3 linked regions of the Saccharomyces cerevisiae S288C genome follow. Changing the gene in region 1 together with any one later gene gives a genetic interaction. Each region holds a gene or a part of one and is shown on either strand. Other genes may lie near its edges.

Region 1 (3,501 bases):
GTTCAACTAATAGGTCTTTAACACAGCTTCAGTATTGTCTGAGCTTCTCGTTTAACATTCCTTCTGCAATAGGCGCAATCACACTTAAACGTATACGAGTTGTACATTAATATACGATGTAAGCATTAGATTGTTACCATAGCAACTCATGTCACTATTAATTACTCTCGTTCCAACATGATAATATAACTATTAGTTGATAGACGATAGTGGATTTTTATTCCAACATGTTCGTTCTGTTATGAAGTTGTTTCATATGTGTTTTATGAACTTTTAGGATGACGTATTGTCATACTGACGTATCTCACTTTGATAAACAACAATATCAATAATATTAGGGCGTGTGGCGTAGTCGGTAGCGCGCTCCCTTAGCATGGGAGAGGTCTCCGGTTCGATTCCGGACTCGTCCAATTTCTTTTTGTTCTCAACGACAATAATAAGAAAATCAACTTAAATGGAAAATATTACTGCCTTTTATTTTTTACGTAGCTGTTGCCCTAACCCGACTTTATCTTATGTCTGTTATTTTTTTATTTATACATTTTATAAAGTGTACCTCTCTTGCAGGTACCATTAATCTTATAACCCATAAATTCTTAATTCGTTGAACGTGCCGCATCCTTTGGAGTGGATTCAATATCCGTGGACCCCCCTTCTATTTTCCTCCTCTTCTTATCATTACCATCTTCATTCTTGTCTACAGACCCCACCTCTTCTTCTCCTTCTTCCTCATCGCCGTCACTATTTTCTATGTCTTCCTCCTCTTCTTCAAGATTCGTTTCGTTGTCTTCAGTCTTCTCTTCCTCCTCTTCTTCCTCCTCTGCCGCTTCTTCCGCCTCTCCCTCTCCATCTTCTTGATCGTCATCTTCGTCGTCTTCATCATCTTCATCGTCATCTTCTTCTTCATCGTCCTCCTCCTCTTCATCATCTACGCCGGGCTGTTCAGGTGGGTATAAATCCCCTTCATTTTCATTATCCCAAACAATGTTAAACCTTGTTACCCTTGGCTTTTCAGCCAGTATATTTCTTACAATATGATCTACTTGTACCTTTGCTGGCGGATTTTCTCTTAACTCTTCTTCATCGTACTCATTATTCACGTAGTAACCGACCCTAACAAACTCTCTCCCGTCATAAGAACAACTTAATAGAATAACAGTCACACTAACCAATTCACTCGCAGGAATCAGCTCGGCGGAGGGAGGGTCAGCAGAAAACACAAATTTATTAACACCTACGGGAACGGGGCCTACCAGAATGGAATCCAATTCCTGGTCATGGTCTAGAGAACGAGAGGACCCAACATAGGTTAGTTTCCACTCTAAGTCATGTTTTAAAGATTCTAAGCATTCAAAAGTGATTTCAAACTCATATGGATCAGTGAACTTTGCCGGGTTGTTTAAGACTTTGATGCCTAACAGTGAAACAATTGACATCTTTTCTATATCTTATGTTTCAATTGGATGGTAGGGAGAGTACGCTGTTACACTTTCGAGATTCTGTGAGCCTCTTACCTGTTTGGAGTTATTCCAAGTGTTAGTATTAAAATTGCAAGATTCATTTTTCCATCGTCGGTTGTACGCCCATTACATGAAAAAGGGAACAGATTTACGCGTTTAGGATGAGAAAAAAAAAAAAAGGAAAAAACGCGTAAATGAAAAGTTCTTTGTAGAACAGCTCTCTCTTAAACACATAGTAACAGCAAAAGACGCCACCAAGACAATATCCTGAAAATCGAAATTCTCGCCAAGGCATTACCATCCCATGTAAGAACGGAATAAAACAGCATTCGAAGGTTAGGTGTGGCACAAAGCCGATAAGAAAAAGAAAAGTAGTGAGGACAGGCTTAATTGAGCTAATTAAGGCGAAAAAAGGAAAAGAACTCGATAGAAAAACTTATTCATGAAGGAGACGTAAAGTCAGGCAAGGCTGCGGCATCATGTCTACTTGTCATAACTCAATTTGCCTATTTCTTACGGCTTCTCATAAAACGTCCCACACTATTCAGGGGAAGGCTACACGGAAACCCCAATAAAGGAAACGAAGAAGTGACCTTAGCCTTCGTCATCCGCGCCCACTACTCTCTTCCTAGTCGCCCGGTTGTTGAAAGTTTAATTGTGGGTTTTCTTTCACGACACACCTCACTGAAAAAAGAAACGAGCGGAGGAATAGTATGATAAATCTTCAGCATAGATGGGTAACGGGATCCCTCTGTGAGGGCCGATTATGCAGGCCTAGACCCGCACGTGACCACTTCGAGAGCAAGTTGCCTGCGAGTTTCTCTGCCCGAGGAAAAAGAAATGGAGGCAATTTACTTAATATGGTATGAGAGGATCTTTTGACGGCAAATAGATGCGCCATCTCCGAGAAAAAATCTAGACAATAACAGCGACAATTAACCTAAAGAGGATAGAAGATCGAGCAAAAAAATTTTTTTAATATGGGGTCAGTGGCGATATTATACTATAGGAGTTAAAGAGTAAGTTGAGTGTAAGGTGGTAGAATTATGATTGAACTCCGAAACTAAGCGCCGATTATGGGTGGCAAAGCGGACAGCTTTTGATATATAATCGATCGCTCTCGTAGTTGATATCCTCTCTCTTGCTTATCTTTTCCTGTATATAGTATATGTGTACATACAGATACGAATATACCTCAGTTAGTTTGTTTTAACATTAAATATTCAACAGTTGCCAGTAGCAAAAAGAATATATCCATTCATTTCGAGCTTTTTCGTCTCATTACTGATATCCAACTAACAGTCTCCTCATAGACGGTACCTTACTTTCCTTTAATATTATAATACTAGTATAGTCGCACATACTTAACTCGTCTCTCTCTAACACATAATGAAAATTTCCGCAGCTTTAATATTGTCTTCCCTTTCTTCTGTCGCATTTTCTGCCCCTGCACCTGCTCCAGCGGACAGTCACCATGAAGATCATCACAAAGATGAAAAACCAGCGGTTGTCACTGTCACTCAATACATAGATTCCAATGCCGCTACTAGTACTGTAGAATCTGCTGCTACTACCACTACATTGTCCTCATCTGAGAAGGATACCTCTGAACAGAAGCGTGATGGCGGATTCCAAGATGGTACTGTCAAATGTTCGGACTTCCCTTCTGTAAACGGTATAGTTTCCTTGGACTGGCTAGGATTTGGTGGATGGGCCTCTGTCATGGACATGGATGCCAACACTTCGTCCGAATGTAAGGATGGCTACTACTGTTCTTATGCATGTGAACCTGGAATGTCAAAGACTCAATGGCCTTCTGACCAACCAAGCGATGGTAAATCTGTTGGTGGTCTTTACTGTAAAAATGGTTACTTGTACCGTACCAACACTGATACCAGCGATTTATGTTCTACGGATGAAACATCTGCTAAGGCCATTAACAAAAAGTCTGACTCCATTGCTCTATGTAGGACGGATTACCCAGGATCAGAAAACATGGTGATTCCCACAGTGGTTGATGGTGGAGATTCACAACCAATTT
Region 2 (2,903 bases), on another chromosome or scaffold:
CACAAAGATTGAAGGGGAAAGGTAGTGGTCTGGAACTGTTACCTCGTTGTTCTGTGGTCACCACTGTGTTTTCACCCAAATCATACTGAAATCACAACATAGAGTCTTGTTAAAATGCCAAGGCATATATATATATAATAATTACAAGAGTTCGTGTCCACTAAAAACCGTATAGAGCAATAAGTAGCCCGAAACAGCATACAGATTGTTCGCGTTTGAAGTTTCCACGTACTAGGTTGGACATACAGTTGCAGAAGCCTTTAAGCATCTGCAGTAATTGGCGACTATAGCGAGCTGTACCATTTTGACGCCCTTCCCAAAGAGGAAACCGGGCACCAGAAGGAATTCGCGGTGTTCCCCGTTTGGGGCATGGCGTGTCGCCTAGAAGGGAAATCATATGAAAGAAAAGAAGCGTCGCGTCTCAGCGTATGAAGGGCAGCAACAGAGCTAAAGTGAGTGTGGCAGTGAATGGTTTACGCGTTTTAGAGCCAGACGATGATTGTTATTAGAACTGAGCTAGTGTGAATAGCTTCTTAGACGGTAGTGTATCGTTTTGTCAGTGAATAGCATTAAGTTTATGGGTTTTATATATAGATAGATAGGTATAAACGTAAAGAGTGAATTTTAAATAAGTAGTCATTTAGACAACTCTGCAAGCGTCTTATTTGTTGGCAGCTTCGAAGTATTCCTTGGAGTCTTCAACGGTTGGCTTGATGGTAGCAGCACCTGGAGTCCAGTTACATGGCAAGACAGTACCGTTCTTGTCGGTCCATTGGAAGGCTTCAACCAATCTCAAGGCTTCGTCAACGTTTCTACCGACTGGCAAATCGTTAATGGTGATGTGTCTAATGACACCCTTTGGGTCGATGATGAACAAACCTCTCAAGGCGACACCTTCTTCTTCGATCAAGACACCATAGTCTCTGGACAAAGAGTGGTTGGTGTCAGCCAACAATGGAATGTTGATTGGGCCCAAACCACCTTCCTTTCTTGGGATATTGGTCCATGCCAAAAGGGAGTATTCGGAGTCAGTGGAGGCGAAAAGAACTTGAGCGCCTTGTTCTTCGAATTTCTTAGCAGCTTCTGAGAAAGCAATGATTTCGGTTGGACAGACGAAAGTGAAGGCCAATGGAATAAAGGCTAGGACAACGTACTTACCCTTGTATTTGTCCAAGGAGACTTCGTCAAAGACACCGTCGACGACGGCAGTTTTCTTAAAAGTTGGAGCTTGCTTTTGAACTTGAGCGACCATTGTGTATGTATGTGTATGTAGTTGTGGTTGGTTGTGAGCAATTGAACGAGGGGAAGGCCCGTTGAGAACGGTTCGGCATTGATCTGACGAATTACCTCCCTTTATATATGTCCTGGTTTGTTGCCAGCCGACTTTGCCAACCCGAGCCAAACCGAAAAATCCCTAAAGGACAATTTGTCAGAAAACCCGACGGGCCAGAACAGCATGGGTTTTCGTACACCTTAAACGCATTATATAACGTGGCCACATCGCATTGCAATTAGTCTTCATCAGGAATGTAGAGATGAGGTTGCGCACCTGTGGCGGTGGGTTCTTCCTCGTCAGGGATTATGAGGGCCTCATCTTCGTTTTCCTGCTGTTGGGCAGATGGAGCCGGTTGCTCACGGTCCCTTGCTCTCTGTGCAACAATATCATCCAGCTTCTCCTTCACATAGGGGAGTAGTGTAACCCAAAAGAGCACGAAGTTCTTTATCACAGCGGTTATCACCCTATCGTTTACCGGGTCTGGAATTATGTATCTGAGTACGACATCAAGGACGTTATGCTCCGCTATTTGCGAGCACAAGGTTTGGAACCATCTTCTGTACTTGGGTAGCGTATTGATGTCTTTCTTTTGGGACTCCTTCCAAATCATCAGCAGCAATTCGTTCAAAGAGTCTTGAGGATATAGTGTGTTCATGTTTCTTGTCGTTTCATACAATTCGAAAAACTCTTTGAACAACTCATCTAGCGCGTCCTTAGGAATCTCACCCGATAGCACCTTGATAAATAGCAAATTCAATTGTCCAACGTCAGGGGTGTTGGTGTCGTACTCAATATCATACTTAGAATAGACCGATAGCCTTTGCTCATGTAGATTAGGTATCATCAGTAAATCAATAGCGGATTGAGTGTCCTTACATTTCTTGTAGAAATTTAAGGTCAATGAATTGGAATTGATGAACTCCTTGATCTGGCTAAACTTGACTTCGTCAATTTCATTCAAGTGGAGATAGTCTCGCCATAAATTCCACACCTCTTGGGTATTCCAAACAGTCCTAAAAATGAAAAGCAAGCTTAGTAAAATGATATATTTCCAGGGAAGGAAGCTTCCAAACTCCAAAATAATAAAAAAGGGAACCAATGAATTATAGCCAATTAAGTAAAATGTTCTTATCAATACCAATAGCAGCGGGAAGCTGTTTCTCAAGGGACGCACTACCCTTCTATTCCACGCTGACTCGTCATTCTCAACTGTATTATTATCATTTGCCGAAGAGGTATTATCTGCAGCTCGAACATGCTCACCAGACGGATGCAAGAGTGTCGAATCCCGTGGTCTCTCGATTTTGAAGTTCAAAGCAGATTCTAACTGCTCTATCGCAGATGGTGATAGCAAAATATTATCGCCATTAATTCTGTAGTCATTACTAGATATGGGGATTTTAATTTCACCGTAATCGCCTTTGATCACGGACAAATAGCTCGATTGTGGATTTAGTTCGCTAACAGGAATGAATACTACTTCATCCCCGTTGATAATGCATTTCCTATAAAGCTCATCTGTGGGCACGATGTCATTTCCAGATTCGGTTACGTATGGTATACCCCGTTCTTCGCCACGTATTGCAGCAGGAGATCGTCCTTGCGTCGGAGCGAAACTAACAGGTGA
Region 3 (3,519 bases), on another chromosome or scaffold:
AAGATGCGTACCGTTTTTTGCATATTTTATATGATAAGGGCCGAATTCCTTCAAAGATAAATCCAAAGCTTTGTTTGCAGTACTGACATCCACACTCGATTTGATTTCCGATTGTTGCACTTTGAAAGTCTTTTCTAGCTCATTCTCAGGTTCCAAATAACCATTGGACTCGGGTAAAAGGTAATCTGTTGCCGCAGCAGAAGATACCGCCTTTTTATATTGCTCGTCTATTTTTTTCAAGCCTGCTCTTAGTTTTTTATCCTTTGTTTGAGTATGATTATTTTTAGCATTATTAGTATATGTGGAACGTTCAAATTTATTCTGGTTTTCTCTTTCTTTTATCTGGCGTCTGTGACCGTTCTTCTTGTGACCCATTGTGTCGTTGGAATCTGGTTCAGTTTCTTAAAGCTAGGATACTGAGTTTTTAATGCTATATATGGATTTTTTTTTACTATTGAACTCCAATTCAGTTCTATACATCGATTTTTCACGAACTCATCGCTTAGAAAATTTTCTTACCGTTTTTCTTTTTTTTTCAATTACCTGAAAAGAAAGCCGGGAATAATGTCGGGTTATGAGAACAATGTATTATATTACTGAACTATCTAGAATTTATAAGTACGTCAATAAGCCTAAGACAATTAGCACAAACGAAATGTCAGTGATTAGCATGGACAATAGATCCCAGTATTGCAAAAGGGTAATTAGCTTCCCCTTCAGGTTGGCGACGGGAATTACTCCCTCGGGCACCAGTGAAACTAACTTGACAAGTTTATTGGTATCTTGTAAATTTTTAATCTTGCTCTTGTGTTCCACATTCTTCAATAGCTGGTAGTAGATGGATATGGAAAGGAACTCAAACGTGGCAAAAATTCTAGTGAAATTCGATGGGTTCCGCAAAGGTGCAAACCAAGCTGATTGAGTAAATGCATAGGCCGGCCACACAGAGGAATTTGGTCTTGTGATTAGGTATAGATAGGGTAGTAGGAAAAAGACCCACTTCACAAGAATGGTCCAGGCTTTCAGTCTGTTCAGCAAGTAATCATGGTAGTCCAAAGCAGCTTGATTGATCGGGGCTGCAGGAGCCGCTTGACCAAACGATGGTGTACCCTCTGCACTGGGCATGCCAGTGTTCATAGAACTTAGTAGTGAGAGTAGATCGGGCGTAGAGGAGTCCTGAGGGGTACTTTTACCCGTACCTTGGCCTTGCATGGCAGCGAGCTGTTTCAATAGGTCCAATTGGGGCGCTACGTTGCTATCTTCTTTGATATCTGGAGTAGCCGAATGCACACTCGCAGGTGGTGTGGTCTTTGCAGCGCTAGGAGCGTCTAAAGGTGATTCTGCGTTCAAATGACTGCTTGCCTGCCCGGTGATTTTATTAAGCCTGGAGCTGGCACCTCCATTGCTAAACTTCTTCTGTCTCCTTTCCCTTAGTAACCTGCGCTTTTCCGCCTCTGTTAATTCAGACATATTTCCTAGAGCTACGTTGCTGATGCTACAAACATGGAAGAGCTCATTTGTACATATCCATATCATTCAAATCTTTTCATGTTCCTATTCTTGTTCTTTTGTCCCAGCAAACGCGCACGGCGGGGTCACCCCAAATTTTTATTTACCTTATGTTATAAGAGCAACCATCTCATCCCCAAACTTCTCCCTCCCTCCCTTTTCACAAAGAGAGTAATGCTCAACCCAAGTAGCCATCCGCCTTCCCCGGATTTTCCCACAGGATCTTCTGCAAGTCCTAGGGTCAAACTGAGACCATCCACGTTGTGGGCACCACCACTCACAGTATCCTCTGACTTTGCGGCTTCCAGTAGTTCTACTGCCCCTGTCACCGTCACAGATAAACCTGTCACACCCGCTGTATCAAAGCGGTATCAACCTTAACTCAGATTTTCAAGAAACAGAATAGCACATTCTCTAACATCAAGTTATCATACCAATATATAACACAAATTATGCATAAATAGATAAGTAATATGTCCCTCTGCCCCTGCCTTTCCCTTTCCAGATGCTGGCATCGAAAGTAAGGCATGTATTTGTATGTAAGTTTTTTAATTAATAGTCTTCTTCTTTCTTATCAGTCGTGCTCTTCTTTCCAAATTAATAGGTTTGAATCTTATCGGAATCACCTGGAATTCGTTCTCATTACATGGCCGCCCACCATGCACCTTTACATTTCGTATTTCTTTCCTCTCTGCGCTATATCTTTGGGAAAGATTTGCAATCAAGGCAAACACCCGCTTGTCCCCTTTCAATTCTTGTGTTATTTCAAAAACCATCCTTTCATAATATATTTGTATTTCTTTCGCCCTGGACTCTACCAGTTCATATTTAGAACCTTCCACATATCGTCCAATTCTGCAGCCCACATCTTTTTCCACCACGATACGGGAAACAGAATGGGTCCTTGGATTCTCGCTAAACAGTCTCTCTATTCCCCTGTTCAAAACCCTCAAGATATTTGTTTCCCGCAACAGCTGCAATTGCAATTGATCAATCCTATGCGAAAATGCCGAGTTTATGTTATTCAAGACGCATTTTAAAAAATTCACTAGCGGCTCCTTGAAATTCATTATGTCTGATGAATATGAAAACCTTTTCCTGACTACCAAGACTCTTTAACTCTTCTCTCTTTATTGCATATTATCTCTGCTATTTTGTGACGTTCAATTTTAATTGACGCGAAAAAGAAAAAATAAGAAGGGCAAAAAGAAAAAGCGCAGCGGGTAGCAAATTTGGAATCGCATAAAAAGAAAAAAAAAATATCAAAGAAAAAGAGTCATCTCAAACATATGTCTGCAGATACTTCATTATCAGCTTTGAAAACTTTTGTTGTTGCTGCTTTGAGTTCTTTCTTGTGTGAGTGCTACAAGCCACATTTAAACTAAGTCAATTACACAAAGTTAGTGATGTCAGCTACTCTACTAAAGCAACCATTATGTACGGTTGTTCGGCAAGGTAAACAGTCCAAAGTGTCTGGATTGAACCTTTTGAGACTAAAGGCTCATTTGCACAGACAACACCTGTCACCTTCCTTGATAAAACTACACTCTGAATTGAAATTGGATGAGCTGCAAACTGATAACACCCCTGATTACGTCCGTTTAGTTTTAAGGTCCTCTGTATACGATGTTATTAATGAATCTCCAATCTCTCAAGGTGTAGGTTTGTCTTCCCGTCTAAACACGAATGTCATCTTGAAAAGAGAAGATCTATTGCCTGTTTTCTCTTTCAAGCTTCGTGGTGCCTATAACATGATTGCCAAGTTGGACGATTCTCAAAGAAACCAGGGTGTTATTGCCTGTTCAGCTGGGAATCATGCCCAAGGTGTGGCCTTTGCTGCTAAACACTTGAAAATACCTGCTACTATCGTTATGCCTGTTTGTACACCATCTATTAAGTATCAAAATGTCTCGAGATTAGGGTCTCAAGTCGTCCTATATGGTAACGATTTTGACGAGGCTAAGGCTGAATGTGCCAAATTGGCTGAAGAGCGTGGCTTGACGAACATTC

Evidence for each region.
Region 2: mutations in ASF1 (region 1) and TSA1 together harm fitness more than expected from each alone (negative genetic interaction), as found in Saccharomyces cerevisiae (5 studies listed by BioGRID, with this or other methods).
Region 3: mutations in ASF1 (region 1) and GET2 together harm fitness more than expected from each alone (negative genetic interaction), as found in Saccharomyces cerevisiae (5 studies listed by BioGRID, with this or other methods).

What each region holds. Positions count from the first base shown.
Region 1 is NC_001142.9:194,222-197,722, reverse strand, and holds ASF1 (nucleosome assembly factor ASF1), read right to left. Parts: upstream 1,437-3,501; coding exon 597-1,436; downstream 1-596. Other genes in the region: SUN family protein NCA3, read left to right, coding at 2,850-3,501. UniProt on the Saccharomyces cerevisiae protein: Histone chaperone that facilitates histone deposition and histone exchange and removal during nucleosome assembly and disassembly. Facilitates histone deposition through both replication-dependent and replication-independent chromatin assembly pathways.
Region 2 is NC_001145.3:218,487-221,389, reverse strand, and holds TSA1 (thioredoxin peroxidase TSA1), read right to left. Parts: upstream 1,253-2,903; coding exon 662-1,252; downstream 1-661. Other genes in the region: USA1 (Usa1p), read right to left, coding at 1,512-2,903. UniProt on the Saccharomyces cerevisiae protein: Thiol-specific peroxidase that catalyzes the reduction of hydrogen peroxide and organic hydroperoxides to water and alcohols, respectively.
Region 3 is NC_001137.3:325,562-329,080, forward strand, and holds GET2 (GET complex subunit GET2), read right to left. Parts: upstream 1,471-3,519; coding exon 613-1,470; downstream 1-612. Other genes in the region: UTP7 (Utp7p), read right to left, coding at 1-375; YER084W (uncharacterized protein), read left to right, coding at 1,504-1,890; YER085C (uncharacterized protein), read right to left, coding at 2,058-2,579; threonine ammonia-lyase ILV1, read left to right, coding at 2,916-3,519. UniProt on the Saccharomyces cerevisiae protein: Required for the post-translational delivery of tail-anchored (TA) proteins to the endoplasmic reticulum.